Coturnix japonica: one gene and its partners. The protein of the gene in region 3 interacts with the protein of the main gene of each other region in a biochemical or structural test. Links are inferred from orthologs where the notes say so. Each region holds a gene or a part of one and is shown on either strand. Other genes may lie near its edges.

The links.
Region 1: the proteins of MAPK8IP3 (region 3) and MAPK8 form a complex in vitro, tested with the Homo sapiens proteins (3 studies listed by BioGRID, with this or other methods). The link is inferred for Coturnix japonica from reciprocal best matches to the Homo sapiens genes MAPK8IP3 and MAPK8.
Region 2: the proteins of MAPK8IP3 (region 3) and MAPK10 form a complex in vitro, tested with the Homo sapiens proteins (3 studies listed by BioGRID, with this or other methods). The link is inferred for Coturnix japonica from reciprocal best matches to the Homo sapiens genes MAPK8IP3 and MAPK10.
Region 4: the proteins of MAPK8IP3 (region 3) and MAPK9 form a complex in vitro, tested with the Homo sapiens proteins (2 studies listed by BioGRID). The link is inferred for Coturnix japonica from reciprocal best matches to the Homo sapiens genes MAPK8IP3 and MAPK9.

The regions. Positions count from the first base shown.
Region 1 is NC_029521.1:15,696,571-15,703,802, reverse strand, and holds part of MAPK8 (mitogen-activated protein kinase 8), read right to left. Parts: intron 5,955-7,232; 5' UTR 5,910-5,954; coding exon 5,788-5,909; intron 3,746-5,787; coding exon 3,616-3,745; intron 2,427-3,615; coding exon 2,368-2,426; intron 2,246-2,367; coding exon 2,107-2,245; intron 1-2,106. UniProt on the Homo sapiens protein: Serine/threonine-protein kinase involved in various processes such as cell proliferation, differentiation, migration, transformation and programmed cell death.
Region 2 is NC_029519.1:40,962,720-40,970,611, forward strand, and holds the start of MAPK10 (mitogen-activated protein kinase 10), read right to left. Parts: upstream 4,195-7,892; 5' UTR 3,825-4,194; coding exon 3,822-3,824; intron 3,242-3,821; exon of another isoform or gene 3,137-3,241; intron 1-3,136. UniProt on the Homo sapiens protein: Serine/threonine-protein kinase involved in various processes such as neuronal proliferation, differentiation, migration and programmed cell death.
Region 3 is NC_029529.1:12,371,839-12,379,613, reverse strand, and holds the start of MAPK8IP3 (C-Jun-amino-terminal kinase-interacting protein 3), read right to left. Parts: upstream 5,025-7,775; 5' UTR 4,907-5,024; intron 3,523-4,906; 5' UTR 3,511-3,522; intron 232-3,510; 5' UTR 230-231; coding exon 174-229; intron 1-173.
Region 4 is NC_029528.1:4,149,419-4,156,650, forward strand, and holds part of MAPK9 (mitogen-activated protein kinase 9), read right to left. Parts: intron 6,909-7,232; exon of another isoform or gene 6,780-6,908; intron 3,424-6,779; coding exon 3,294-3,423; intron 2,181-3,293; coding exon 2,122-2,180; intron 1,665-2,121; coding exon 1,526-1,664; intron 1-1,525. UniProt on the Homo sapiens protein: Serine/threonine-protein kinase involved in various processes such as cell proliferation, differentiation, migration, transformation and programmed cell death.

The DNA of each region.
Region 1 (7,232 bases), on a different chromosome or scaffold from region 3:
TTGAACAACAAATTTAAAAAACATATGAAACTACCTGTAGCAAAGAATGCTTAAAATATTTAAGGACACTAAAGAAGTGCATGGAAATTACTACCTGAAATGTTTCAAGGGCAGCCACAGCAGTGCAGACTGTGATAAGGAATAAGAAGTTTCAAGAAATTCGCTTGATGTATGTACTCAGGATAGTGCTGCTGAAATCTCAGAAGAGAGCCATAAGAAGTTATTACTGAAGCCACACTTTCCTCATGCCCATTTCCAAGCATGTCTTCTTTGCTTTCTGAGATTTCATTCAACTTGTTCCACAGAAAGAATTTTGACACATCACACCTTAAAATTTAAAGGAGTAACACAAAGAGCTTCACTGCACGCAGTGAAGCTTCAAGCAGTCAGACAGCAAGCTGCCAAATGAAAGTCTACCAAGAAGACATGCAATTGAAATGTCCTTCAAAATCATTCATGCATACTATTTACATAGCTCTCGTATCTATAGACAATCTCATTGGAATGGGCTACCTCTAAACTCTGTATTAATGCACAACCTGAAGTACTTCAGAACTCCACCCATATTTACAAAGGCAAGAAATGTATCCTTGAAGCTGCCCTCACTGCTATGCAGCAGCCTATGAAGTAGGAGAAAAGAAGCAAATGTACAAATGTTTCCGTTTATTACTGGTTTCTACGTGCTCAGTGATTCAGTGCCTACCTTACAGGAGCACAAACTGTCCTTGAAGCAATGCCTGCACTAGCACTTACTGCCTGCCTGCACAGACCCACAGAAAGAGACTCATTGTCCATTCTAGCACATCTATAAGCATGTGCAGGGTAGAAAGGGCAGGGTGTAACAGCTGGGTGGTGCTTCTGCCTATTATCCTTTCCCCAGCTCTTTCACACACACAGTCATACGAGGGCAAACTGTATGTGTAAAGGAAGCCTTCACCTTCCCTCCCTGAGCACTTAACTAGAGTGAGGCAGCAAGTGTGTACTGGAATCAGCTGAGCAAAAATGTTCTGCCATTTACATTCTGTTTGCTATTCACACAATACCCCGGTTCTCTTAAATGAGAAACAGTAGACTGAAAGGGAGTGTCATACTGCCAGTTCTAGCTTGCAGTCCATTCCACAATGAGGTAGACTACTGAAATTGACAAGCACCGCTGCACAGTAATGCAGTTGTAGCATTCAGAATTGATGTTCATGATTTTGCTGTGTACATCATCCTTGAGGAATACTACACAGTACTGGCTGAAAGTACTGCACAAATGTAGCTTTAATTAGTTTTTTTCCTGCATCATTTCTCTCTATGATAAATCAATAAATAAATAGAAATCAGCCAAGAACATAACACTGCAAAAATACAAGTTTACAGTTTCTCAAAATTACAGAAAGCACACTGGAAAAGTTATAACTAGGCAACCTCAAGAAATCTTCACACTATACATAAATATATAAGATGTTCAACTTGAATAGGCAATCTTAAATTCAGAATGTCCTCACTGGATTTAACACATACAAGCCATTAGAAAAGTAACTGTCATTTTTGCCTGCGGGCAACCTGAAGGAATGCTTTGTGACACACAGGTGTATGAAAGCCCCACTCACAGGTCTTTATCATGACCTGTTTGTCTGGAGACTTCAAATACTTATTTTCTACTCTATTAGTAAAGGAGCTGAAATAAATTGGGCAGTTCTTTCAAAAGATGGAATTTCAGGTTTGGTTACCAAAACAACAAAGGTGGAGGTGATTTCAGATTTCTTGTCACAACTACTAAAATTGAGCACGATATAGAATTAGAGAAGGTAATGCAACTCACTGTTAAAATCATTTTATTTTTTTCACCCTGTGCGGATTATTTTCAAACAAACCCAGAAAAACATCCAAGAGGTTCATTCCAGAATTACAGAGGAACAAAGTAAGCCTGATGATTTCCTTTCAGCTTTCTCTCCCTGTCTATGGCATAGGCTACAGAGCACTATTTGAATACACATTTCTGATTTTTTTTGTGGCTCATTTACATAGAATCAGAAGATCATTTAGGTTGGAGAAGGACTCTAAGATAAACAAGACAAAACTTGATGCAATGAAAAAGTAACACAGAAATTCACTTACCCTATGTATAATTCCAGCTGAGTGAAGATGTTTGATACCACAGAGCATCTGATAAAGGAGATAGGACATTCGCTCATGGTCTAGCTCCATCTGAATCACCTGGCACAGGTTGGCATCCATCAGCTCCATTACTATGTAGCTTATAAAGAGAAAAAAAACAATCAGATTGCACTGCCAGTTTACTGTGTTCTTTACCTTGTTCATCTTTCCATGTTAATATTTTTAAAGTTAATTCACAGCTTTAGTTCAAATCAAACTTACACATCCTGAAATTCTTCCAGTGACTTCTGTGGTGTAAATACATTTAATAAACTAATTATCTATAAAGAAAAAGAGAGGAAGTATAATCACATCACAGCAATAGCAAAATTGCAAATCAACATTTCAAAACTGATATGTGTCATCCCGATGCAATCTTCCTGGTATTCACTGAAGCACCAGATGCTCAGTGTCAACTATGCCTAACATGCTGTAATAGATGCTAATGATTTTGTGAGAAGTATTCTTCCTCCAAAAATTGGACAACCTAAAAACATTTTGTGTGGATTAAAAGATATCACTAAAGTTTAAAACCTGAAGAAATTAGTCAGTCTTTCCTTGCTCCCTACTTTAAATTTAAGGAAATTTCATTAAGATTCTTATTCTGTATGATGAAAAATTAAATGAAAAAGCAACAAGAAAACCTACTAAAGAGATACCACTTTGCCACAGACAGAGGTGAAGCAAGAAATTGATCCAAAGACAAAAAATAGTAATTTTATAGTATTTTCCAGTTGCTAATCATGGATGGAATATATAGCAACAGTCAAGATATTACTCATCAAGAGTCAAGCAGGGTTGCAATAGTTTATAATCACACAAATCACACAACTGGGGAAATTTTCCTTAAGAGAATCTACATATAAACCTAAAAGCCAGGAAGAATTTTATCTTGCTGAAGGTAGATTGGAAAGGTGATAAAGATGGCATACAGCTGTCATTTAAGACAGAAAATGGCCAATACAAGCCTTCTGTAGTCCAAATCCTATACATCTATCATTTTTTCTCTCCCAGTATCTCTAGTCAGCTCTGCTTCACAGCTTCTCATGCATCAGACAATTTCTGCTGTCACAACATAAGATTCCTAACTCATTCATGCATTACAAAATAAAGAAATAAATAAAAACTATTGCAGGCTTTTTCCTCCTACTTGTTTAGCAGCAGAAACAGAAACAAGAATGCAATTACCACTCAGAGCATTCTCATTTGCCAGCTGTCTGTAAAATGAAGCAACATAACACCGTCTCCCTTCCTGAGTCTGAAGGAGGAGTTTGGAGACTGGACAGGTATTAACACTAGCCTGCAACAGCTCTTCTCAGATCCTTTTTTACTTAACACGGACATACGGGCATGTTCTGAATACCATTATAATCCATAAATGATGTCATCTCTGGAATGGTCATTAATATGCTCACAAAGAACAACCACACAGTTGATCTTTCAGTATTTGAAGCAGAACACTCCGCTTACATTTTTGTGATTAACGCACTTCATAAGAACAAGCTCTCTGTAAGCTCTTTTAGCATGGGTTTGATTCTGAAATGGTCGGCTTAGTTTCTTGATTGCAACGTTTCGCTCAAGGATGGCATCATAGGCTGCACTGTAAACAAAAATAACATTATTTCATATCAGTATTACAATCAGTTAAGCTCAGTCATTTTCCACTTTTCCAGATACCATGTATTAAGTCTGAACATAAACAAAGCTTCCAGTATTAATCAGCTTTGGGGAAGGTACCAGCAAGGTGTTCATGTATGCTATGCAATGCAAAATTCTGAAAGATTTTCCCAGATTCATAGTCCTACCACATAGCAATCACCACTAAAAACTGCAGAACCTCTGTTTCCTACAACATCTGCCGAAAGGTACTGATCTCTTGCCACTCATTAGCACTGAAGAGCAGACAGCCTAAAAAGATCCAAAACGCTTTAAACATAAAACCCACATTAATTTTACATATAATTTTCTACTGAAAGATAGGGAGAAGAAGAGAGGAAAAGTAGGTTATACATAGGCCCCATGCTCTCATTTATTATGCAGGATGCAGCTGTTTAATATCCTTACAACAAGAGCACTAACATCAAGATAAAAGAAAAACAAAACAACAACAAATAATAATAATAAAAAAGCTAGGACAGCCCTAACATCTTGATGTCTTCAAGGAAGAATAAAATTCTGTTTCCAGATAGTTGCCAAGATCGTTATATGATTCAGTAACACAAGCTGCTGAAACGATGAGGACTGTTAGTTGGGACAACTTCTATACGTATTTCCATGACAGAAAGGCAGGGATTTTGTTTTCTGCAAGAAGTAATACAGCAGCTGACTACTGTGCAGACTCAGGAAATATTTGTCAGCTAGTAAAAAAGCCTCAGCAGGGAAAAATACCATTTTATTGTCTCTTGCTGAGAATGGTATACAAAACTAATGAAGAACATCTGCCAAAAATGGCCAGCATTTACCAAACATAATTGGAAATATGTTGTCTATACAGTATGTAGGCTTGAATGATTTTTTTTGAGCATCATGTAACTGTTCAGTCACAAGAGGAAAAGAATAAATAAATTGGAAGAACACATACAGATAACTTTTTGTTTGTTTATATTTCCTCTATCTACCTGTAAGATATTCCATATCTTATGAGAGAGAAGCAAAGAGGAGATAAGGCAAAAATGATGAACTTCTAAATCTGCAGTACATAAACATAGCCTTAGAGTCTGTTTCAGTGCTGAGCCTTTCAGTCATCTACTTCAAAACTACTTCAGCAACAGGACTAGTGGGGATGGCCTCAAGTTGCACCAGGGGAGATTCAGGTTGGATGTTAGGAGAAACTTTGAAGCAGTGGTTAGGAGCTGGAATGGGCTGCCCAGGGACGTGGTGGAGTCACTATCCCTGGAGGCATTCAAGGAATATTTAGATGTTGTACTGAGGGACATAGTTTAGTGAGAAATATTGGTTGATAGGTGGATGGCTGGATTGGATGGCCTTAGAGGCCTTTTCCAGCCTCAGTGATTCTATGATTCTATATTCTTCCAAATTAGGCTGAATTAGTGGAAATGAAAAAACAAAGAAACCAAAAACCGACTCAACCCAAATCACAAGAATTATATACTATCTCCTTCAGAAATGGTCAAAATATAACCATATGAGTGCTCTGGTTCATTTCAGGACAATCAGAGTGGCTTAACTGAAACAATTTCATTTACCATAAGCACAATTTGCATATTACACTGATAGTCTGCATTGCAAGTGCTCACTAACTGGTGTAAGACACTTCTATAGAACTAAGTGAAACAGGTCTCTAGCAAACTATTTTAAGAAGAAAAAGCAAGTAGAAGCATCAAATATAAAGAGTTATTTTTGCTTTTGTTTCACATGGAGCAGCGTGGCTTAGGATCAGGATTAGTTCCTTTATCCAGGTTTTTCCCCATTAATTTATGGGACTCAGCACACCTAAATGAATTTACACAGAAGGGCTCCAGTTCTGAAGCAGGAAGGGATGTAGGTTAAAATAAACAAAACGCACTGTGAGTGACTAATGATCACCAACACTGTTTTTCATGTAATGTATAATTGTAAAGGCACTCCAAAAATTCTATTAACAGAACCTAAAAGCATATTTATACTTTAAAGAAACCTTACCATACTATTCCTTGTGCTCCTGATCCTATTGGTTTTAAGTTTTGATACCGTTTCAATACAGTGAACGTAGAATCCCCAATTTCAACACTGTAGAAATTGTTGTCACGCTTGCTTCTGCTCATGACGGCAACTTATGTAGAATGCTTCATCCAAATTCTGTTCCCAGCCTGTAAAGAATTAAAGAAAATTAAGATATTACAACTGTATTTAATACAACTAAAGAAAAAATCCCCATAATGTATGGAAGGTGGTTCTCACAGAAGGCCCATATGCTGTTTTTTTCACACCTGCAGGAACGAGACGATGTGTCTGAAAAGTTTTGGTTTTAGCAATGTGCCTCAGACAGGAATCTAGAATGGAAAAATATTAAATGATTGGTGGCAAAAATCTTACATGGCAGTGAATGGAAAATCAAATGGTTGGTTATGTCATCCACAGAGCGTTGCTGAGGTTACAGTGTAGTCTTATATTGGCTGAAGCAGAGAAAGAACTCAAATCACCCCAGATCAATAGGTAGGACAAAAAAAAAAAAAAAAAAAAATTAAAAAAATGCTATCAATAGAACAATGACAGCCATACGGATGAGAGATTAAAAGAGGAATGAAAGAGAAGTACCCTGAAGTGGAGAAGCAGGAGCACCTCCGCTTGCATCTGAATTATCATTCCTTCTTTTGCAACTCCTTGTGCTGTACATCAAAAAACCATCAGACTTTGTTGTTTCAGCATGGGGTATAGTTTATCACTTCAGCTAAAATGCACTCTCTTCTAGCATAAAACTGACTGACTTGAGAAGAGTCAGCTCTCAGAAAAACCATTTATTGCGAATTTTTTTATGGCAAGCCAAGGTGAGAGATGCAAGTCAGTCACTGGGAGGCAATGAGGAAGCATTCAGGTCAGCAATGAGAAGTCTCAGAACCTAGGTAATGCTTTCCTCTGCCTCCTTTTCACCTGGCCATTACAGCTTCCCAAGTCTGAATCAACTGGCACCTACTCCATCTGTGCCCCTGCCTCCAAGTTTCATCATTTCTACACCACTGAGAATTTAAGCCTCTCAACCTTTTAAGCAAACTCAATTCCACCAAGTCTTTGCCCCCACTCAGCTCAACCTCCCTTGTGCCCACCACTCATGGAAAGTACCCTCAGAAAGTGCCTGGTAGTGCCCAGCTCTGCAAATACAGCTCCTAGAAGAAAGTCTAAAGGTTTCACTTCTTCCCATCCTCTAATTGACTCACGTCTAGTCTTATGAAGTCTAGCTTCAAAGAACCACAACACCAAAAGTTTTAGTCCTTAAATATTAAAGTAGTTCTAAATGCAGAAACTGGCAGAATTTCAAGATTCTTACGCAAAGTATCCCCACAGTATTTTTCATTAAAACACAATTAAGCTATATCAGATAATCATGCCTGCCTGAAATTTGACGTTTTGTTCCACTTTCTAGCAATTCT
Region 2 (7,892 bases), on a different chromosome or scaffold from region 3:
TGTTAAGCGTTAAGCAGAAGGCAGCTGCATTCATCATTGATCATCACTAAAGTCTGGGCAACATTTTCTTAGCATTGTTCTGTAATGTCTTCAAATAACTCCAAACAAAAGTGAACTGTATCTTGGAAGTCATGGAACGTAAACAAAAATCTATATGTTAAATCGATTGCTTTATCAGAGAGAGACCACAGCACTTCACATCCAAACTGCAAACTCCCCAGCTCCCTGAATTGTAATTCACAGTCCCCCAAGTTACCTGACCCACTGTTGTGAAATCCTGCTGAAACAGCTATTGATGGAAACCAGAATTTTGCTCTTCAGAGCCTTCGGCTTTCAGTGTTTATTACAATGCAAAAAGTTGGCAGCTGTTCCAGAAGCTGGAACTACCCTAAATTTTCCATAGCCTCACTGTGATGCAAGCAAGAGCCTGTAGTCATGAAGTCATAAGATGTTCATGGTCCTGGACAGGAAAAGAACCTCAGTGTAGAAGTAAAACTGCTCTTTGTTTTTCTAAAAGAGGCTCTGGTTCTGTCCTATTCTCCAGACTTAATCCAGAGATAAATGAAAGTTAATGACCTTCCCTTCCCTCAACACGAAGGTGAGAACACTCTACTGCCACCAGTATGTTCATGTGCAAAGTTAAAAAGAAATCAAACAATCGCTGTTTAATGAATAAACAAAATAGACTAAGAAGTATTAGGAGCTGAGCTTCCTGTCCTTCTATATTAAAAACAGTCAAAAGTGCCCTTCACAATGGCTAACAAAAGCAGGTGCATCAGGCTAAAAGGGAAATACAACAATTCAGCTTAAGGACTGTTCAGTTTCTACACACTGTGATGTAAAATCCTGTACCACGCTCAATCTTGCTTTGGATCTACCCTTGCATCTCATTATCACTGAGAAAGAGAAAAGAAAACCAATCTACTACCTCACATTGTACACCAACAAAGTTACACATTGCTTTCAGTTTTAGACCAATGCCATTACTTGAGTACAAAAGCTTTTTTGTTTGTCTGAAAGACATGTTCCTATGTCTGTCTATGCAGATGGTGCTGCAAGAAAGAAGCTCATAGCAAAAGCAACATTTCTCCTCCAAGCTGCTGCCCTTCATTAGGGTTAATTTTTCTTGCAGGTGGCCCCATTCAAACCACTGTTTCACAGAATCAGTGACAAGGCAGCAGAACAGTGATGCTGGAAGCAAAGCTGTTCAGTATTGGGGTTCAGAGAAGCCTGATGACAAAACTGAGCAGCAACTATGGTAGCATTGCAATTATTAGGCCTTCAGGTTCTAATTTCTAGTAGTGGTGTTATAAACCCAAGATGGAATTAGAGGGTCTATGGACAGAAGAATGCTCACCATAAGCAAACAAAAACAAGAAAATCAACAACACACACAACAGACTTTACTTTGTTCCAAATGCTTATCAACACACTGATTTCTTCTGTTATCAAGAACTATCCCAAGAACTGACCCAGCTTTATAGATCATAAGAGTTTAAGAGACAGCAAATTTCAAAGCTGGGGATGCAAGTGCAGCTTTTCTACTTTCCAAATCTCAATACAAATATGATATCTTAAAGAGCAATGCCAACATCCCATTCATTTCAGCCTGCTTCTTCCCCCCCACCCCTCTCCTGCACGAGTTGTGCAATGGACAGCAAACTGTGGGAGAGCTTTGTGACATTTCCAAACACAATGGTAGGGACATTTTGATGGCTGCCTCTTTGTTTTCTAGAGTCAAATTTAATACTGTTACACTACTGGAAGATTTTTTTGCCTTATAACAACTGATTAATTACTATTAAGTCTCTAAATGGCTATAAACATGTCAATGACTGACAACAACAAAATAATCATAATAATTAAAAACAAACAATGATAATTAAAAATAACAAAAACCCACACATCCCCAAAATCTGCTCTCAAAAAGCTCCTTAAGTGCACACATTTCCAACAACAGAACATTTGCTAGCACCAACAAGGCAGACAGGCAACAGAAATCAACCAGGTTTTCACATCAAGTGATTTTTGCCCTTAACCCATTTAGAAACATGTTTGCAATCCTAATATTGCTCAATACAGTAACAATTACACCAGGACTGTGATTAATTCTGCATGCTCTGGAGCAGCAGGATGGAGCACTGTGTGAGCACGCAGCTCACTGAGGGTCAGGAGAAGGAATATGGTTTAATGGCTGAGGTCAAATCACCTTTGTCATTCACATCTGCTCCCCCCAGGAGAAAGCCAGTTCAGCCAGTTGAAAGGTATTTCCTTGCCACCTTTCCTAGCATCAAGACAGTGAGCACACAGCAGGGGTATATGGAAGAAAATACTGCTCTGATGCGTTCCTGGCTGGTGGCTACAGAGCAACATTCTGAAATAGGGTTAAAGATCTGAGGTTTGGAGAACCTCTCCAGGGCACAAAAACCAAAGCAAGATTATGTGTGGGCAAAGATAAGAGCCCTGTGCAGAAGCAAGGCCATCTCATTCCATCTCAACCTTTTCCTTCTTCTGAAGCTGGTCTTACATCCTCTGTGTCCAACAACCTGATTCCAGGCTCCTCCTGGGTATTTACATTTTTCTCTTTTAAAAGAAAAAACTTTATGCTATTATTCTTTTCCCCCTCCCCCCCCCAAAAAAAAAAAAAATCTGCATTTTCAAGGACAGTTAGTTTGTCTTTAAACAGATCTTTGCCAAAATCACACAGAGCACATCACAGGGGGGAAAGGCTGCAGTGAATATACCATGCAGCTATGCAGCAAAAGGAGCCCATGTAAAGAGCTGAAAGCCATTGAAGACACAAACGCCACGGAACATGCCCAGTGTGGGTCACTGGGAGCACAACACAAACACTTCGTTAGGCAAATAGCATTTGTTTTGTTCCTTCTTAGGTCCCTCTGTAGAAGAAAAACTACTGATATTTCTTCTTATAGTAAGAGCTTTTCTGCCAAAATATCTCCCTGCAAAGCAGCACCAATTTCACTGCAGCATTCAGCAAGTGTTGAGCTCTTTTGCAGAGCAGCTGCCCTGCAGCGTGCTGTAAACACCTCTCCCAAAGCTCACATGGTGCCATCAGACGCAGTCAGCTTTTCCATTCACTTATACTGGGGCAGTCATGCAGAAGACCAGTGGTTACCTTGGACAACTACTTGCTTACAGGATACCACCGCACTCAGCACAGCTTTTCAGATCCTTCCCACCAGCACCTTTTTCCCTTTCTCTCTTCATTTCAGCCACTTTCCTGAAGGCCAAGATATATGTCATAAAAATCATAGAACCATTAAGGTTGGGAAAGACCTCTCAGATCATCATGCTCAACTACTGACCTATCCCCACACCATGCCCACTAACCCACGTCCTCCAGTTTTCCATTTGCTTAGCATCACCTTCTCTTCTTTCACTGATTCTCATTTTATATGGCTCTGCATGGACAATACAGCTCCCATCATGTACTCCTTGCTGCTGAATTGTGCACCTCCCAAAGCCCCCAGGCAGTGATGAGGCTGAGCAAACCACAACTGTTTACATGAGCCAGCTGGCGAAGCACTGTCACCCCATCCATGATGTGCACCGCTCTCACAAACCACCAAAACAACCAAACACACACTTATACAGACCCAACCACAGGAACACAATGGTTCTCAGCCACAGTATCTAGGGCTGCAGCCATCCCACTCCAGTTCACCATTTGCTCCATTGACCTGCCTCCTGCTTCCCCCATTACTAAAGCAACACTCAGCATCTATCACCCCACCCCACAAGAGCAGGTCAGTCTTGTACCACTGGTGGTATCACAGGTACCACCAGTGTCAGGTACCTACCATTCCGTGCTGCCTCTGTCCTTGTCCAGCCACCTTCCCCCAGCTGCACGTCAGGTGGTATTGTTAAGCCACATTCCAAATGGTGCCAAGGAAGAGATGAGCTTCTTATAAAAATAATCTAAAGAAAAATAAAATGGTGGGCAGCTGGATCCGACGTTCTCCTTTAAATAATTACATAAAAGAGAATGGAGGAGAAAAGAAAAAGGGGAGGCAAAATGTCTGATGATAGTGGAATAAAAGAGGAGGTTGGTTGCTGAATCACGCTCTGTCACTGCCTGGGAACCATTGTGCAGCTGATGCTGGCTGTACCATTGTGGAAGGACCGGAGGAGACAGGCGGAGCGATGGGGAATGGGGCTGCCATAGCAACGGGCAGGAGCGCACATGACGTCAAAGCGCAGAGGTCTGCAGGGGGGGGAAAGGGGGAGCAGGGAGAAATGGGATCTGCAGACACAGCTCCAGTACCTCATGGGGAACCAGGACAGAGTGGACTGCAGGGGGAGGCTGCAGCACCGGTCAGTGTAGGAAGGAGCAGCAATAGCAGTATTGCTCAGTGCAGATGTGCTTTGTTGTTTGCATCAGCTGCTGTACACACAGGGATAGATGTCCATCACACTCCAAAAAAAAAAAAAAGAACACAACAAAACAAACCAGAATATCTGAAATTAATTTATGTTCTGTGCTCTACAAGAAAAAGAGCTCGCAACAAATATTCACAGCCACCAATGCAGCCATCCATACTGCTATTGCCAGACGCAGGTAGCAATGCAGCTTCTAAAAACAGAATCCCTTGGAAACCCAAGGAACAGCCACAGATCTGTCCCTTCCTATTGGTACTCTCCACATCTCCAGACCTACAACATGTCACTCCTTGTGGGCCCCATGACTCATATTAACACCATGCTTTGAGATATCTGAAGGACTGGTGATGACTACTGACCTCCTCAGGTTAACAGCTAGGAAGAGTACATTTCCTCTGTGCACATTAAACTGCAGGAGAAAACTCTTTTGACATTTAACAGCAAGTGAAGTACAACCAGTAACACTTTCTGCACTGGAACAAGCTTTAGAATGGGATAAGTGCAAGTCAGCAATACTATCACAGAATGCCCCGAGTTGGAAGGGACCCATAAGGAACACCGAGTCCAAATCTTAGCTCCATAAAGAACCACCCAAAATCAGACCCTGTGTCTGGGAGCGTTGTCCAGAAGCTCCTTGAACTCCATCAACCTGAGGCTGTGACCACTACCCCAGGGAGTCTGTTCCATGCCCACAATCTTCTGGCAAAGTACCTGTTCCTAACCCTCAATCTGACCCTTCCCGACACAGCTCCATGCTGTTCCATCCAGTTCTGTTGCTGTCACTGGAAATCAGAGCTCAGTGCTGTCCCTCTGCTCTCTGTGAGGAGTTGTAGGCTGTCACAAGGCCTTCCCTCAGCTCCTCTGTTCCAGGCTGAGACAACCCAGGGGCCTCAGTCACATGTCTTACACTCCAGAACTTTCATTACCTTCGTAGACCTCTGTTAGGATACTCCTGGGAGAAAAGGGGAAATTCTATCCTGCTGGAATGCTCATCTTCTTAGAAATAAAATTTCATACAATCACATGGGGCAAGTACAGCTCCAAGAAACCCACTGCAGCCTTCCTGCCAGCAGTTCAAATACTCCACAGGTTTTATCATAGCCAGAGCCAAACACGGTATCAACAAGATATCAACATTTTTTTGTGCGCACCTATGAGCTGTCTGCAGTGTGACTCTATTGCATGGAACTTCCCAGCCAGCTTCAGTAAAATACAAGACTTTCAAATTCCTTTGTTAATTTTATTTTATCTCATTCTGTAAAATAATTACTAATGAAGGCTGGTCTAGACTTAACCTCAGCCAAAAGAAAGAATCGTCTTTGATTTTGTGCTTACCATCATCAAAATGCCTTTAAAAGCTATTGCCTTTTCCTCATGACCATTACACAAGGAGCTAAGAGAGTAACTGGGGACAGGCAGGAATACAGCTGCTAGACTAGGCCACTTTAAGAAAATTATTACTTTACAAGATGATAAATGGCTTCTGTGTGATAAAGAACTGAAAACACTGTTCAAGTCAAAAGAGCTCCTTACTATCTATGTAAATCAGTATCATATGTTGCATAAGTCTATACTACATTAAGCAGCAAGAAGACAGTACTTGACATGGGAGAGATATGCTAGCAAATAGATAAATGAGAAGGATTCCAACGTGTTCATATTCACTGCAATTAGGAAAAAAAAGAAGTCCTGACCTGAAGCCAACAAATACCACTAGAGGGGTGCAGGTATACAGTACTGGACAAAGAAACTATACTGTTAAGTACTGCATACAACAAAAGGAAAGAGCAATGAATAACTTAGAGCATACATGAACTGGAAGAACAGGAGATTCTTAAAGGGTATGACAATGCTATTTGTAAATTCAATTGCTGCGTTTTTAGTGAAAATTATTTTAGCAGTGATTTATCTACACAGATACCAAGAACAGTACTTCAGCACACAATAGCACTGCTGTTTTTGAGACAAGCACACCTTCATTATTCAGTCCACTGTCAAGGACTGTATGACCTCTAAAATTCTAGCAGGGGAACACACACCAAAAAGAACAGATATAGTTTTAAACTTACTGCAGATGTTTTTAGTATCCCAGTTGCCCTATGAAGATGAAAAGAGAAGCCTGCTCACATATCATTTAGTTTTTAAAACTGCCACTTCCTACATATAGTGGCTCTTCTGAAGACCATTGTTTAATGCTTGGTTTACCCTGCAGAGCTAAATAAGACATACCAAGGATTCAGTAGTAAATGATCCCAGCACACTGGAGCACTAAACAGAATTTAAACTTGTTCCATGAAGAAAACAAACAAATTCACTCCTTTCCCCATGCGAGCACCAGCTCCATACACTACATGAATACGCTGTCAATATCTGCCACACATAACTTCACCTGAAAACCATGACACACTCACTGATAACTTCTGTGAACATTTCTACATGGCAGCTCACCATGCCTCAACCTTAAGATTAAATCCAACTCTGACAGATGGCATCCAGCCTGCCTGAAGGTATTATTTGTTGTATAAATATTTATTATTTTAGTAAGTTGTGCTCCAAATATACAATTTGAAAGAATATAGTTTTCTGCCTTGACTGTGATGGACAGTAAAAGCCCCAGCTACGTAACACATTCCAGAAGTCAGGATTTGTGAAGATTTGTGAATCTTGAGCCAAAAAAGTTCTCTGGGCTTTCTTTGAAGTTGCTCTGACCTATGGAAACAAGAAAAGAAACATCCAGACTTGGTAAGCTGCATTGATCTCAGCGTCCTACTGACAGCTCAGCCTTCTTTCCTACTGAAATCTGTTCCTTGAAAACTTTTAAGTCCTCCAATGCGCTGCCTTTTCTTAAAAGCACCTTTGTTGGAAAATTATTCGCATGGGAGATGTTCCTTTTATTCAAGTTGCTTCTTAGATCACAGCTCAGTCAACTCATTGATGTTTCTCACACTTACCAGAACATGTTTTACACGTAGAGATCCCCAGTTTCACATGTCTTGCACACTAGCAAGCCACTGCTCCCATGAGGAAGTCAAAGCACTCCAACTAAAACTGAGATGATACCATGTCAGGACTGACAGCACACAATTAATTTAATTTAGTACAATCAGTCCTTGCACTTCATTTCCATAGCTCTCTCATTCTCCCAAATGAGACGTCAGACACCCAGCACACCATATAAGGGATGCATGCTGTCGAAGTATTAAGAATCCTCTTCACCATAGCCACTTTGTGGGCACAATGCCAAAGTAATGGTTGCAGTGCTCTGAAATGCTGGGTGAGGGCCAGAGAGCATGCATTGCATGAGATCTTGGGATGGAGCCTTCCTTTCCCAGACACCATGATCAAAGGGACCTTTGGCTGCCTTGACCCAGCAGCAGTAGCTTAGGCTCTCCCATTTTATACCATAATGCCCAGCAAAGAATTTGAGAGACAAAAGCAGCAACTGGAAAATCATATTTTCCTCTTTCTTGCACAGCTCCAAAGAAAACTCA
Region 3 (7,775 bases):
CATTAGGAAAATTGCTCAGGAGAGGATTTTCTCATCTACATTTCAAAGCATAACAAGTGTTCAAGAGAGCCTGCCAGATACACCAGAAAGCCACAGTGAGGCTGGAGTTCTAGCCACAACCTTCTTTGTGATGGTACCTCACTTATATAACCAGGCACACAACAGTTTCTTACTTGGTCTCCAGTAGCTGTGAGTTCTCCAACAGCAGATTGCCAACTTCTTTGCCCATTCCTGAAAAAAACAAAAAAAAAAGGTCAAGCAGTTTTCATCTGTTTCATCTGACTCATGCTTGGGAAAGAGAAATCATTTTTGTTAGGCTTCCCTACAGCCAGCTTCATCCACTTTAAAGGCTTCCTATTACCAGCCTTCCACTGTGGCAATATGAAAAGGACTTCAGATCGTCCAATGCTCGACTATTCACCTTGAGCAGTTCTCTCACAGGGATTCACAGTTTGAAGTCTCAGGCCCATGACTTAAGGACCACTCCCAAAAGAGCAGATCAGACATACTGCACATTGGGCAAGAATGCACAGAGGAGAGGCTGCAGCACACAGGTCAGGCTGCAAAACTCTGTAAGATTTGGAGCTAAGTGTAGAGACTGAATTTAGTAAAAACGAACTGAAAGGAATTTAGGACCAAAACCACAAGTGGAGCGCTCCCTGCTGCCGGGGACCTGCAGGATCCCAGGATCTGCTTCTATTTTACACATAGATACAGAGGCTACCTGTTGTTTTAAGGGACAGTGCTGAGTGCTGCAGCTTGCTTCTCAATACAAGCCCCGGGGCACAAAAAGGCATCACAACCATCAGTGTTTGTGCTGTAGTGTTCCTCATCCTGCCCTCTGAACTACCTTATCCCTTTACAGCAAAGGCATCAATATTTTCCACAATTGTTATTTGCTGATTAATATTCACAATGAAATAAAACCAAAATAAACTGTAAGTTAATGGAAGTTAGAGAAACATGACAGCATACAAGAAGTGAGAACGTATCACAACACTCCAACAAAACAAATCCTCTTCCCACAGTTAGATGGCATGAAGTTATGATGGCAAAAGCAAATTCCCAGCAGGAAGGAATAAGAAGCAGCATTTCAAGTTGTTCTTTGGTTCCTTTTTCAATCGGTAGAAAGAGAATCAATCACTTTGATGTTTCAGGCAGGTTTCTCAGTGTGTCAAGGAATACTGCAAACAAAAACCAAAGTGTACTTCTGGCTGGGTAAGGATGAGCTATAACCCTTTTCTCCCACAGCACATGCACTGTTTCTAAAATCCAGAGGTCACACAATACAGACACGTGTTTATTAAATATTTCTCTGGTTCCTTTCGGATGATTCTACAAATGATCAAATAAATATTTAACAAGTGAGGCATTAAAATGGCACTAAGATGATATTAAAAAAGACACTGTGAGTGCTGGCATCCTCGTGCTTGGTTTTTTTGTTGGCGGTGGGACGGTCAATAACAGTTTTCCTTCTCATCCCTGAGTAAGGTGAGTCTGCCTCTGGGAGAGAAAGGAACTCTGGTACAGAGGGTCAGTTGTTACCCCAGAACTACCTAATTAGTGTGTGACCCAGCCCCAGCCTGATGCTTTAACCAGTGGGAGGTCTGAAGGGCCGGTCTTGCAATGAAGAAATGGATGACGCCATCCTGCAGCCATAGAGTGAGACACTATGAGATAATCTCACACAAGCTGTAATGACAAAGCCCCACTCATGGAGATAGAAAAAAAGTGACTAAAAGGAAAATTCTTTACTCCTTACGGTGTGGGACAAAGGAGAGAGCCACACATCACTGTGCACCTCCCACAGCCAGGCAAATAGTATGAAGCATCAAAGTGGATAATCAAGGGAAGGAAAATCCCCAAATCACAACTGTGGACCAGCTGCATCCTGCTTCTTGGAGAGGTGAGACCACCATCACAAAAAGGAAAAGCAAAACATAAACCCACAAACCAATGTAATGCAAGACACATGGAGGGGATATTGAGTGAATGGAAGAAATTGTAAAAGAAAAAAAGAAGCGTGGTTAAAAGAGGAAAAAAAAGAAAGAAAAAAAGAAAAAAGGCCTTGGCCTTACCAAAGAAATCATCCCGTACTATGAGAGCCATCCCACACGAGAAAGGGAACAGAAAGATAGGGGGACAAAGGGGGAAAAAGGAAGAGAAAAAAGCAGCCATTAAGTACCAATCTGTAAATAGCAAACAGAGCAGCTCATCAGCATGTGTAAACGCATGTGGTGCCAGTATAGGTGATGCTCAGCATAAACTAACATACACCTTGTTCAGCTGCAGCCTGGCCTGGTAGGGATTTATGCCTGAGAGTTCAGGACAAGCTGAAGACGAGTTCATCTTTTTCTTCCACCTTCATCACTTACCCTGGACTAAATATCTCTGTGCATTCCAACCCCACCACAATGGCAAGTCAACAGACATGATGAACAGGGTGAAGGAAGGGCAGGAGAAAAAACAAAACGGGAGGGATATCAGAGCTGTTATCTGGCCTTCCCTGCACAGATCCAAATCCACTTTGCTACTGAGATAAATTCCAGTGCCACTTCAGAGGGGGAGTCTCTGAGAAAAGACCACCCAAAAATGGCCTACAGTGACAGCCCAAACAATCTGAACTAAGAGAGAAGATGATGCCGTTCCTTCCTCCCTTTTGTGACCTTACAGACCCAACATCAGGAGGTTCCGTGCAGAGGAATGTGACAGAGCTCAGCACTGCACAATTATGCCACAGATTTTGTACCGTATCAGCCCAAGTCGCCTGTCCTTATTACAGGTGAAACTTCATCCAGTTTGCACTGAAATCAACAGCGATTTCCTTGATTTCATCTAATTATTTTTTTTATCAGTACCCAAATGCATTTTACAGAGAGGTGAAAATTCTGCAATTTAGGCCTGCTGACCTTCGTATGGGACAAAAGGCAACAGAGGCGGCACTTCAAACTCCTACTGAAAAGACAAAACAAACAAAAAAAGGCCTGTGGTTCTGCCACTCTCTTCCCTACAGAAAAGTCTTTCTTTTCACTGCAGCTGTGGGTCAGGATGCATTAAGAAACTCATAGTGAGCATCATGCAAGCAGAGGGACTCCTCACAGTCTTGTTTACTTGAAGAACAGGAGTGAACTATGTAAATCCTGTGCTCAGCTGAGCTCAGCGCAGAGCACAGCGCCTGCCCTAAAACGAGGCACTTTGCACCCCAAAGCAAAGGAAAGGCACAGCGTGGTTTTCTCAAGACCTTGAGACGGGCCAGTGTCAAAACCTGCAGAAAGCTACACAAAAAGCGGATCAAAACACAGCAGACACGTGAACACCAAGCAGGAATAGCCTCCTGCCCAGGAACCCGCCAGTGCAAGGAACCAAGCAAGGCAAAGGTGGGAGAAAGTCAGCAAAGCCAACCGTGATTGGACAAGAGCAGGGGAGTATCACACGTGTATACCATATCATTGAGTCTCAACGAGGTAAAAACAAACAAGAAAGGAAACTGAGCAGAGCAGAGATACACACCTGAGAACTCCCCTATGGGCCATGTCCAGCGAAGCACAGAGAGACAAGGGAAAAAAGGAAGTGAAAAAAAGGATCGATCAGTGACTGAAACCAACAAAACTAAAATTTTGTTTCAAAAAAAAAAGAATTAACAATGATTCAGCCATTTCAGTGTCAAAAGGCATGAAATAGTAAGGACGGGAACTGCCACGACTCTACATACAGGACAAAAAAACCAAGGAGAGGGAACCCCTGTTAGAACTGCAGCCACACGCCTCAGCCACCCCCAGCCTTCCAGACACGAGTCTCAGACAGTCGCATCTCAGCCTGGATAAACCTTTCTTTTCTCAGTCACACAGCACTAAGCGCAGAACGGCCAGTTTCCACTGCCTTCTTGTTCCCCTCCCTTTGTGATCATTCTCCTGTTAGCAGACAGATCTGCTGAAATTAAACGTGCACTTCAGCCACATTTCAGCATGCAAAGGACAGCTGCATTTTACAACATTTTTTTTTTCCAACAGCAGCGCCAGGGCTCAGTCTGATAATTTCATTTAAACTTCTGTATAGAAAAACATCATTTATATACATGAACTTACCACTAACGTAACAACTGCTGTTTTCACCATAAAACACCCATTAATGAAGTAGATTTTAATCTCCAAAGCAAACACAGGAGGCCACCCTAACACTGAAAAAAAGGACTTCGCAGGGCCCATTACCCAACTGTTAGTCCTACCCTATGTCCAGAGTAAAGGGATAATGAAGACCAGGAAAGGAGATATGAGAGAAAGGGGGAACAACCCACAAGCAGCTGGGACTGCTACACTTTCACAGCTTTATCAGACTGCTACCTGACACAAAGCTGCTTCTCTGACTGCTTCAAAGTCCTCATTGGGAACATAGAACATAATCAGACTTCAGATACAAGAAGCTCCTTCAATATCAGCCTAAAAGGAGAATGCAAAACTCTCTTGGATGACTAAGAAGGTAAAAACTGCAGTGAAATCTATGATGTTTCCATACGAGAACGACAATTGTTCCCCTTAAACTTAAAGAAATCTTAACAAAAGGGTTTTTTTCTTGCAAACTTCCAAGAAAAGCTCTATTCCAAGTGAAGCTGCCAGAATGCAGAATTACTGGCGTGAAGATTTGTGGGAGGAGGGGAAGAAGCAATCTTCAAACAAAGGAAAATAACTTACAGACACAAAGACAGCCCAAATACACAGCCATTAACTCAAGCTGTTGGGTAAGAATTACTGCTGTAGGTGCATATTTCAGTCACAGTGTATCCCAAATTCCATGCCATTTTCTAAAGGTCAAACATCCAAGTTCGGAAAAAGAGTGAATCTAAACGCTTCTAGAAGCCTAACGGAGCTGTCTTGCTCAGAGAAAACAGAACAGTCCCAACAAATTTTACCTAGCAGATCTGCTCCTTCATCAACATCTCCGATCACCTCGGATCCTGCTGTGGAAAGTTCATGATAGAGGGAGTCTGTGTTGATGCCAAACGCTTTGTTCACAATCCCTGGGTTGGGCTGTGGTTGGAAGAAAGAAAGGCAAGGATTCTTCTTACTTGGTGATGTTTAAGCCAGAACATAACTCTGAAATACTGAGCATCACAGACCAGTACAGTCAAAACTCTGAGAGTGGATTCTGCCACGGGTTGACTGAGGGAATTCAGTAAGTAAAGGAAAAAGAATGTTTTATTCCCCATACCATGTACCAATACCTACCTTGCATGACCTCAGCCTTGCCTCGCTGATGCCTTTTCAAATAGCTGATAACTACTCAAAAATTCATAGAAAACCTTCCACTGGCAGTCCTAAGGCTGTGCAGTGATGCCTACACTCCCACCAACTTCAACAGCAACCCTCACAGCAGTAAGATCAGATAAGGACTCAAATGCTGTGAACAGCCCTGGATTTCTTTTTTCCTGTCTCAGAGCAGCCTGGGCCACTCACACAGATCCTTCCATATTACTGATATGTGCCTTCCCTGGAGATCTCAAAGGCTGCCAGCACCTCATTTTTGCATTAGGCAGAATTTATGCATTTTCTGAAACAGCTGCATCTTGAGCTCTGGACCACAATATCCACCCTTCACAAAAACAAGACAGAGGGCCAAGAGCAGAAAGTCACAACCAATACCTGTTACCAGGGCGCTCCAGGCGGGGATCCTGACACATATCCAGCTCAGGAGTAGAGTCTATGATGTCCTGAACATCGGACCACTCGTCACTGCTTCCCATACCTACGTAGACAACACATGATCTATGGCAACAGTGCTCCTTAAAGGCATTTCTGCAGCTGCAAATAGCACAGCTTGACAATGTCATGGTGCTGCATATAGTTAAAATTTCACTTTGAAACTGCACAGTTCAGTGCATGAAATCTAACCTGGTTTCTGTATAATCTGTAGCCTAAGACCAATATTTGAGGAAGAAAATAAGGGACTCCCCCTTTTGCCAACTTACATGTATTAGAAACATTTGAAAGCTGAGGCAAGCAACATAAACACAATGTCTGTTTGCATAGAGAATTCCCGAAGGATTAAGGATGTCACCTGTGTACTACATTAGCCCCTTTAATGTGTTAGAGGTGACATTTTTGTCCTTTCCAAGCTGCCCCAGAAGTAAAATCTACAAAGCCCATGAGAACAAGAGCGTTCATTGCTTGGTTGAGGCTGGCACTGTGGGCAAGCAATAATAAAATACAGAACTGGACTCAGCTGTGAGTCTTTTTATTCAAATGCTACACTAGAGGATGTTGCACGTTGTTTTATAGTCTCAACCTGTTAGGAAACAGCTGGTGAACGTTAGCACAGGAATTTCCTCTGTATTACACAGAAAAGGTTCTGGTTCTGATGCTACCTCAGAAACCTGTATTCATAAACATGCTCCAGCTCCCATACCTATGCTGACATTTCCTCATCTCCTGCGTGACCTGGACTTCCATGTTCCGGCTGTTCCGCTTTTCTCGTGTCCTCTTGTTGCTCTTGGTTGTGCCATTGTATTCGCTGATGGGTTGGATGCTCTCATTCAGGGGTGTGACAGCAGCAGAGGGCACAGATGATGTGGGAGTGTTGGACTTGGTTCCAGTGGTGCTCGGCGTGGTAGCTGCTGAGGACTGCCCAGATTCAGACATTTCATCTTGGGGACATTATGGCAATTCCAGGGTAGGGAAAGAATAAAAAGGGAAAAGCAGAGCTATATATTTCAGTTAAATCTCCGGTTTGTTGGTATATGGCTGCCTTAAAGCATTAAGCAAAATGAGCCTTGCTCACTGCACTGACTAAATGCCCAGCGTCACTGGAGACACGTGGCACTGCAACCAGAATGCAGCAGTGAGTTCCATGCTGAACTCAGCAAGCAAATCCTACCTGTGAAAGGATTGACATCCTTCTTCTCTTACTATGAAGAGTTATCTTCACAAGCCACATCATTATGCGACCTCTTCATCATGCACCTCAAGGAAGAAGGTCTTTCATAAGTGAAAAGCACCTCCAATTGCCACTGACTACAGCAGAAGCTGAAGGGCTTTGGCACTCGCAGTAAGCCAGGACAGCATTTCCAAGACTGGAAGGTAACACGGACATTGCTTGGGAAAGATGCGAGCTCTTAGAGGATCCAGAAGCTGCCATTACAGTAAGCCACTGACATAACAAGAATGAGAATCCCCTGCGTTGAGAGAACAGCAGCGTATTTCTTACACCAAGCTGCAGAAGCAAAGCAGATAACAAACTGATGGTCGATTTTGCTAGTGGGGAAGCCCTATGTCCCCGCATGATGTTACACAGAAGCTTGCCAAGCATGGGTCTGGCTTGACAGCACAGAGAAACAGGTGTGGTCTCCCCAAATTGATAAGGCAAGACCCAGAAACTCAAAAATAAGAAGCTGACAAATTAACGAAGGCAACAGACTTCCATTGTGAAATGTGCATGAGTGAGTCTCAGCTTTACAGACATTACAGCCCCATTTCTTGTATTAACACCTCTTGAAAAACATGGGAGACTTGTAAGGCTTTGTGAGGATTTTACACTGCAGCCCTTGTTTGTCAATTAAAGCAGCGCTGCTTCAAAGTCAGCCAATTAATGTCTTGACCGATGCAGTAATCATCCCCAGTACCAAATGAGATCTCTCCTTTCTTCACGGCAGCCCACTCTAATTGCTGCCAGCAGGGAGATGGCAAAATGAATTTGGAGAGTTCTATGTGCTGATGACTTGCAATTGGGTGCAGTGACGCTCAGCAGCCGCACACCCAGACTCAGCTATAATTGTTACTGCTTGC
Region 4 (7,232 bases), on a different chromosome or scaffold from region 3:
CAGTTAAGGAAGGATCTACACACTGAATGATACACCCCCCCCCCCCCCCCGAAGTCAATAACATCACCAGTTTACCCCATGACAGCACTTTTACATTCGTTTGCATTCACAAGAATTTGAATTACAGATGCATATTTGGACTCTGCTCAAGTAACTGATGTAGTTTCAACCACATGAATTATGCTTTCAGGTGCAGAACTTCCTTTTCTTAAGGGAGGCAGGAACATGCAAATAGGAAAGCAACCAATTTTTGCAGAATGGCATTGAATCAGCTTGCTTGCAGTTTCTAATCTTCCTCACAGACTTTTCTCTTGAAATAACTGAATAATTATTTACAGTAGTTGGCAGTGAAATTTGTTATCTCATCTTGTTATAATGCTGGGCCATGTGAAGCATATCAGATTTCAATATTCATCTATTAATAACAGAGGTTGGTGTCACATACATTATTTCAAGCTCTGTTTAGTCACAGACCCTTTAAGTCATCCCCAGACATATTCCTTTGAGCTATCCAAGTTCTGTCCCTTTCCTAGCCTGGCTTCTCTCCAAAATCCGATCTCTCATCTAATCCAGAGTTTCCACTCAAGGTCTGGACAGGTCTTTTTGCTCTGGTCCCAGACTAACACAACACAATCCACTTTAGCCTCTCTATTTAAATAAACTTCCTGCCTTTGTTTGGCTATTCACAGTTTGGTTAGTTTGGTTTCACCAATGTCCCATTTTCATGTCTGACCAGCATCAGTTCTGTCCAACTGCTCTGTTAGCTCCAACAGGCTCAAATTTCTCAGCAAACATTTTGTCTCCCCCTTAGCTCCAAATCGCAGCCAACAAGTCAGGTGGAGTCCAGCCGGAATTCCAGCCCTCCCCTTCAGTCTCTTACACGTTAACTATAAACAACAGTAGATTTTTCAGCAAGGCAGAGATTTGTTGCAATTTATACAGGCTCTCCATTATGTTTATGGATTGAAAGTGAAGAAAAAAAAGCACGTTAGACTAGAAGCTGACCGAATTTTTCAACTCCCAGGGAGAAGAGATTTAAAAGGTGTATCCTGGAAATAGGGGGAAAAAAGAACTGGAAAGGAACAAAAAAACCCAAGCATGACTGTCAAGCAGAATGACTGGTCATGGAAAATACAAAGAGCAGCTGCAGAAAACCAGAATCAGTTGCATGAAGTATGCTCAGGACTTTAAAGTTCTGAACAACCATTTGGTAATATAACTTGTAAAAGTCAAATATTAAATTGGAAAGACTCATTCTTTAATAAATTGGAAGGTACACAGTTGCTCATATTTTATGAGTTTATCAGTTCAGCATCACTTAAATCCACAGAACTGATTTAATCTGTTTTAAGATCTGTTAACAATGCATTGGTCTTCATCTTCAAATCTGAAAACCTCCACGTACAGTCATAGTATGAACAAAAGAACTATAAACATTCAGAACAGCAATTCCCTGCCTACCCCTCAGGTTCCTAAGAACATCTGTGTTCATAAAGAATATCAGTAACGATCTAATACTACCTACTCTGTGGATGATACCAGCTGAGTGGAGATGTTTGATACCACATAGCATCTGGTAAAGGAGATAAGACATTCTTTCATGATCCAATTCCATATGAATAACTTGGCACAAGTTGGCATCCATCAGCTCCATAACCAAATATCTGAAGCAGAAGAAAACATTCATAAACCATAAGAACAATAAGAATGCTTAAGATTTTAAGGAAATATCATTCATTAACACCATTTCAAAATTAGAGTCAATCACTGGAATCACCACCCACATTATATCTGGCTGTCAAGTTATTATCCTTAAGTGACCCATTTAAAAGAAGACAATGCACACAAAGCAGATGCAGGTGAAATCAGCAAAGTATCATAGATAGATAAACAAATGGATAGGAGGCAAATAACAACTTCCCACTTCCATTTGATGGTAGTAGCAAAACAACTTTATTTCTCAATTTATTTCAGAAGTGCCAAGAAAGACTGACCAAAGCTCAGACTTAGGCTTTAGTTACCCCCTACTTTCAGCACAAAGACAGTGAGATAGCAGAGATGCACAGCTATGGCTTAGTTCAATATTTGTCAGGAAAATTAAAACAAAAATCTACTACTTACACATCCTGAAATTCTTCCAGTGACTTCTGTGGTGTAAATACATTTAATAAACTAATTATCTATAAAGAAAAAAGAAGTTTCAGCTTTAATTCAAGTAAAAATCCAATCACTACAGAAATTATTATTCAAATCCAATTGCATACCAGGACTAACCACAATTTAACATTACTTGGTTTCACTTAACTCACTCACACTGAAGAACTGTTGTTTCAGATACAGTTGAAAACTGCAGCACATGTGCTGAAGGGACTAAGATAGGGCACAAGCTTTTTTTTCCCCTCTACGTTATTTAACACCCATATCCTTCTTCAGTACCTGAAATGTGTTCCTTTTTCCCCGCATGAACAATAATCTCTTATTTTAGAACATGTACTGGGCAAGAAATTTTAACTAAACAAGAGCAAAGGTGACGCCCCATTCAATTTACATTGTTTCTAAAAGAACTGCTACCATTACTATGTTGCCATCCTTAATTACAACCTTGCCTTTATTCTGCTACTTCTGGGCTTCACCAAAAGCATATTTCAGCAGTTATAGAAGATTACTTGACTCAGGGAACTTTGACACTCGAGTACAAAACTTTCACCATCATCACTGTTCCCAGTTTATATTGGCACCACAATGCAACACACTGTGATCCTTATATTCTTGTACTCGCATGTTTAATTACATCAAGTAGAAGGCTCGATAACCTTGCATGCATGTATGGTATGTCGGCATTTCAATTGTGTTTACTGGTCAAGCTGCACCAATATACCTTCCAAATCCACCAGGCAAATATTATATTTAATAAAAATCTTGCATAAACTCAGGAAATATAACTACAGAGCAGCTAGAAGAGCCAAGCCCACAACCAAACTCAGTGCCAAACAGGGCTTGCTGCAGTTGGATGTAAAAAGGCAGATGCACTACAGCAAAACCATCTCTAAAGTCCACACTGATGGTAAACCCATAGTGATGCTGCAACAAGAGCCTCCTGTTCTGGGCACTTCATCCTCCAAACAGCTCAACCGAGAGCTGAACCTCACATTGTAAAACCCACTGCAAATTTTTCTGGTTTCTCTCACCATTTTTTTTTTTTCTGCTACTTTGGTTAAACATTTGCAAGAAAGCAAATCTTGAGCTTTTGAGATATGAGAGAACGAGAGAGGGAAACACAAAGGCAGACTTACATTTTTGTGATTGACACATTTTAAAAGAACAAGCTCTCTGTAAGCTCTCTTTGCGTGGGTTTGATTCTGAAAAGGACGACTCAACTTCTTTACAGCAACGTTTATTCCAAGGACTGTATCGAACGCAGCACTGCAAGTTGTCAAAGACAAACAGCTTAAGTTGAAGTCTGCTTGGGGGAGAGGCGAGGGAAGAGGGGAGATGGGAACAAGGAAAGAAATGAAGATTTGAGGAAATAAATACCAACTAAGCTGCTTACACTAACTTCATTTCACATTTAGAAAAAAACACATTAAAAGAGAACCCGAACATCCCTTAAAAAACAAAGGCAGGCTGAGCAGAAGCCACTAACATTCTTAAGAAAAGCCTTCTGTGCCCTCCCCCAAGTAAGACAGAATCTGCTGACTTGAGACTTCTGTTCAAAACTGAGAGATCTAAAAATACGTTAAGCACGTTTTTAAGTAATATTTCAGCTGCCTGTATATTTCCAGCTTAGTCTGTACACTTGGGAACTCTTCTGGGCACTGTTGCTGACTGACATTCATTTAACATTTGCAGTATTCATTGATCTTTCCTAAAGAACAATCACAACAACTGATCTGCCCTGCAGGCGTCAGTGCTCTCATATGGATGTGGATAGTTTACAACTCAAAGCAATTTCAGTGCTTCCCAGAAAATTAATTGTCTGGTTTTAGCAAGAACAAAAATGAATATGGAAGATTTACACATTGTAGGGAGAAATGCAGCAACTTAAAAATGAAAATGACCATTAATTAGGTAGTTTTTCCAATTGTTCTTTCCTTCTGTAGTTGAAGGCACAGTTGCAAACACTTTAAAAACAGTAAGAATCTAAGGCTAAATTACGTGTATATCCAGAACAGGACTAAGGTTGGAATATTCCTCATTATTAACACACAGGGAATTTGACAAAATACCTGCAAATGCATACCAGGAACAACACAGAGTTCCAATCTATTACCTCTCTAACTTTAAATAAGGATTGCCACATTATTTCCATGTAATGCTACTTTCATTTGGTAGGAAAGAATTCTCACTCATGTCTTTTCCAAAGCTGCCACTCTGTGACCTCCTTCCCCACCTCATCAGGACGCAGACAGCACCAGATGTGAAGGACCACCGTATTACAGCACTATTACAAGAGGTGCAGCTCATCTCCAGCAGCAATACTCAAACTGTATTAAGTTTACCAACATCAAATCACTGCCTTCCCTACTGGAAAAGGTACCACCAGCATCTGGCAGGGTTCACACACAAGGTGCTGTTATCTGGGAGTTCAGTGCCCACATTTGAGCCACCACACTGTTTTCATTAAAGGCTTGCTAGTTTTCATTTCGACTCAGTTCTGTGACACACACAAGTTATTACTCACAGTGATACAATCACTCTCAGATTTAAAGCTTTTTTATTTAGCTATTCAAAACAAAACACAAAATGGGAGGAAGGGAACCAGTGAGAAACTGTTTTCCTCCCAGATATGAAAGATGAAAGCGCTCGTGTTTCCAATATTTCATCAAGAAGAAATTTCATGTACAATTTTATGTATATTAATGGCTTTAACAGCACCTTGGTATTAGCAAACAACCAGTAACCAACAGGGTCCACACTAAACAGCTGCTCAAGCCAGTCATGAGCAGCAAGCCCACTGCAACAGTGGGACAGACAGTTCAGGGAAGAAATCCCTTTGCAATCTGCAAAACCAGGTATGTGTCACAACTCCATCCCAGCACACACAAACAACTTCACCTCTACCTTCCTTTTTTTTTCTCCTTATCCACACGACAGTGACTGACATTGAGTCTCCATAAAGAATCTGTATTTGGTAGCTCTGAAGAACCTCCACATCTCTCCTCCCACCCGAAAGCAACACCAACCTGATCACAGTGAATTCTATTAAAGTCTTCAGAGCACTTTTAAAAGTTTGCATCTTGAGCCAGCTTTTAATAATAGGAGTAAAGATGCCACGTGCCCAATGAACTTATAAACATCTTGACCTAAATTACAGCGAGAAATTGTGCTCCAGTTCTGCAGGCAAAGGACTTTTGCCTTGAACTGCAACATGCTCCTGCTGTGGATTCCTGCTTCACCAGCTCTGCTTCACTCACTCTTTCCCCACTGCCCAAACACAGGTTTCCAAACAGCAACAAACTCCTGACTGTTTTCTTCAAGTGCAACTGTTATAGACAGCACAAACTCACATGAGTTTCTAAGATCACAGTTTTGCTATCTTGAAGGACAGAATAACTTCGTTGGGACAGAAAAATCAGGTTGACTATTTAACCATCTGAAATCCAGGGCAAGAAAGGAAAAATCAATATCAAGCCTCAAACAAAAATTCTTTCAACAAAATCATTTTGTACAAGCAGTTACTCATTGATAAATAGATTCTAAGGTTTTGAGCATGCTAGAACATAAGAAGTGTGAGTAGTCACGTATAGAAGCACACTTTGTATATGAAATACACAAATAAACTCTACATAAAACAAGCAAGTTCCTTTTTCATTTTCTAGAGTTCTCATTTTGTATTTCATTTACGCAACACACAAATAACAGTAAGATTTTCCTAGCCAAAAATGACAGGATGGCACTCATCCTATGGTGAGATTTCTGCACTGTGTACCCTTACATTTTGCATACTTCCCCTGGGTATTTTAGGGACTTTTACAGAGAAATTTAGATTTTGCACCTTCTTCAACTTGGACATAATGTTCAGATGTTTCACATGAAGAATTTATGCAATGTTTTATTCTGTTGTTCCAAAAATCAAGTTTTCTCAAAACAAGTCAATAAATCAGATCATCCCTTTCTCCACCCAAGACACTGACCTTAGCACTACCCCAACTGTTTTGAAGCAACGCCTCGTTTAAGCCATGTCATTCAGAAATGCACTGCTTCCAATGAAAGAAGCAACTACAACCACTCTTAATCCTTACATACAATCTAGAACAAGCATATCATCAAGAATATTTATACTCAGAGATGTTTGCACCACACTAATGCTTACCCAAACACCAGTACTAAGATCTAGCACGCCTACCCATTCCTCACTCAACGCACTGAATAAGAATGAAATATGGTGCTCTTATCTCACTTATTTTTTCATGTTAGCACTCCTTTCCTAAGTATAAAACATTTTTTAAGGTTTTAAAAAAGCCAGAAAGTCATGGGCAGGTGCTGCATAAAGGGCTGCTTGCAATATGAGTCATCCCTCTTATCCTGCAGAATTTATAGGCAGACAGAAACAGCAGACTGGGCTTAAAGCACGAGCAACACACCACGCGTTTCTGATTAAGTCTGATATTACAGACTTAATAAGTATATCTGTTTGCTCCCTCATGTATGGAATTGTAAAATAACATCGATAAGAAGTGCTGCTGTTACCCAATAAGTTTTGCCCGACAAAACAAGGGCTGGCAGTAAGTGATGCAGAATAGACCGCTGCAGTCTAAAAAACATTTGAAATTGTTTACCTTTAGCTGGCCCAGAGGTGTGATGCCATACAAGAGACTAAGGTTCAGGATCAGACTAATGACTCTCACGTCCTGGGCCAGATGAGGCTGGACACATAGCTGAGGTGACACAGCAAGGAAGAGATGGCCAGCCCAACCCCTCACAGCATCACTTCCTGGTTAATCCATGGAGTGACAATGACACTGATCTGCCTCATCCTGCCATTTAATGGCAAGGCACTGCATTGGTGGCTCCTAGAAATGGACAGGAGTGATTGGGAATAAAAGGGGGGGAAGAAAGGGGGCTATGATGAAGAAACGAGTAAAACTCAGAATCTCTCACCATCTCATTGTCATACCTTACACTGTAATAGCATAACTACATGGGGAAGGTGAGAACTAAAACAAAAATAAAGTGGTTAATGAGAAGGAAATGTGTTGACCCTCTTCATTTATGATGTTATCCAAACATTA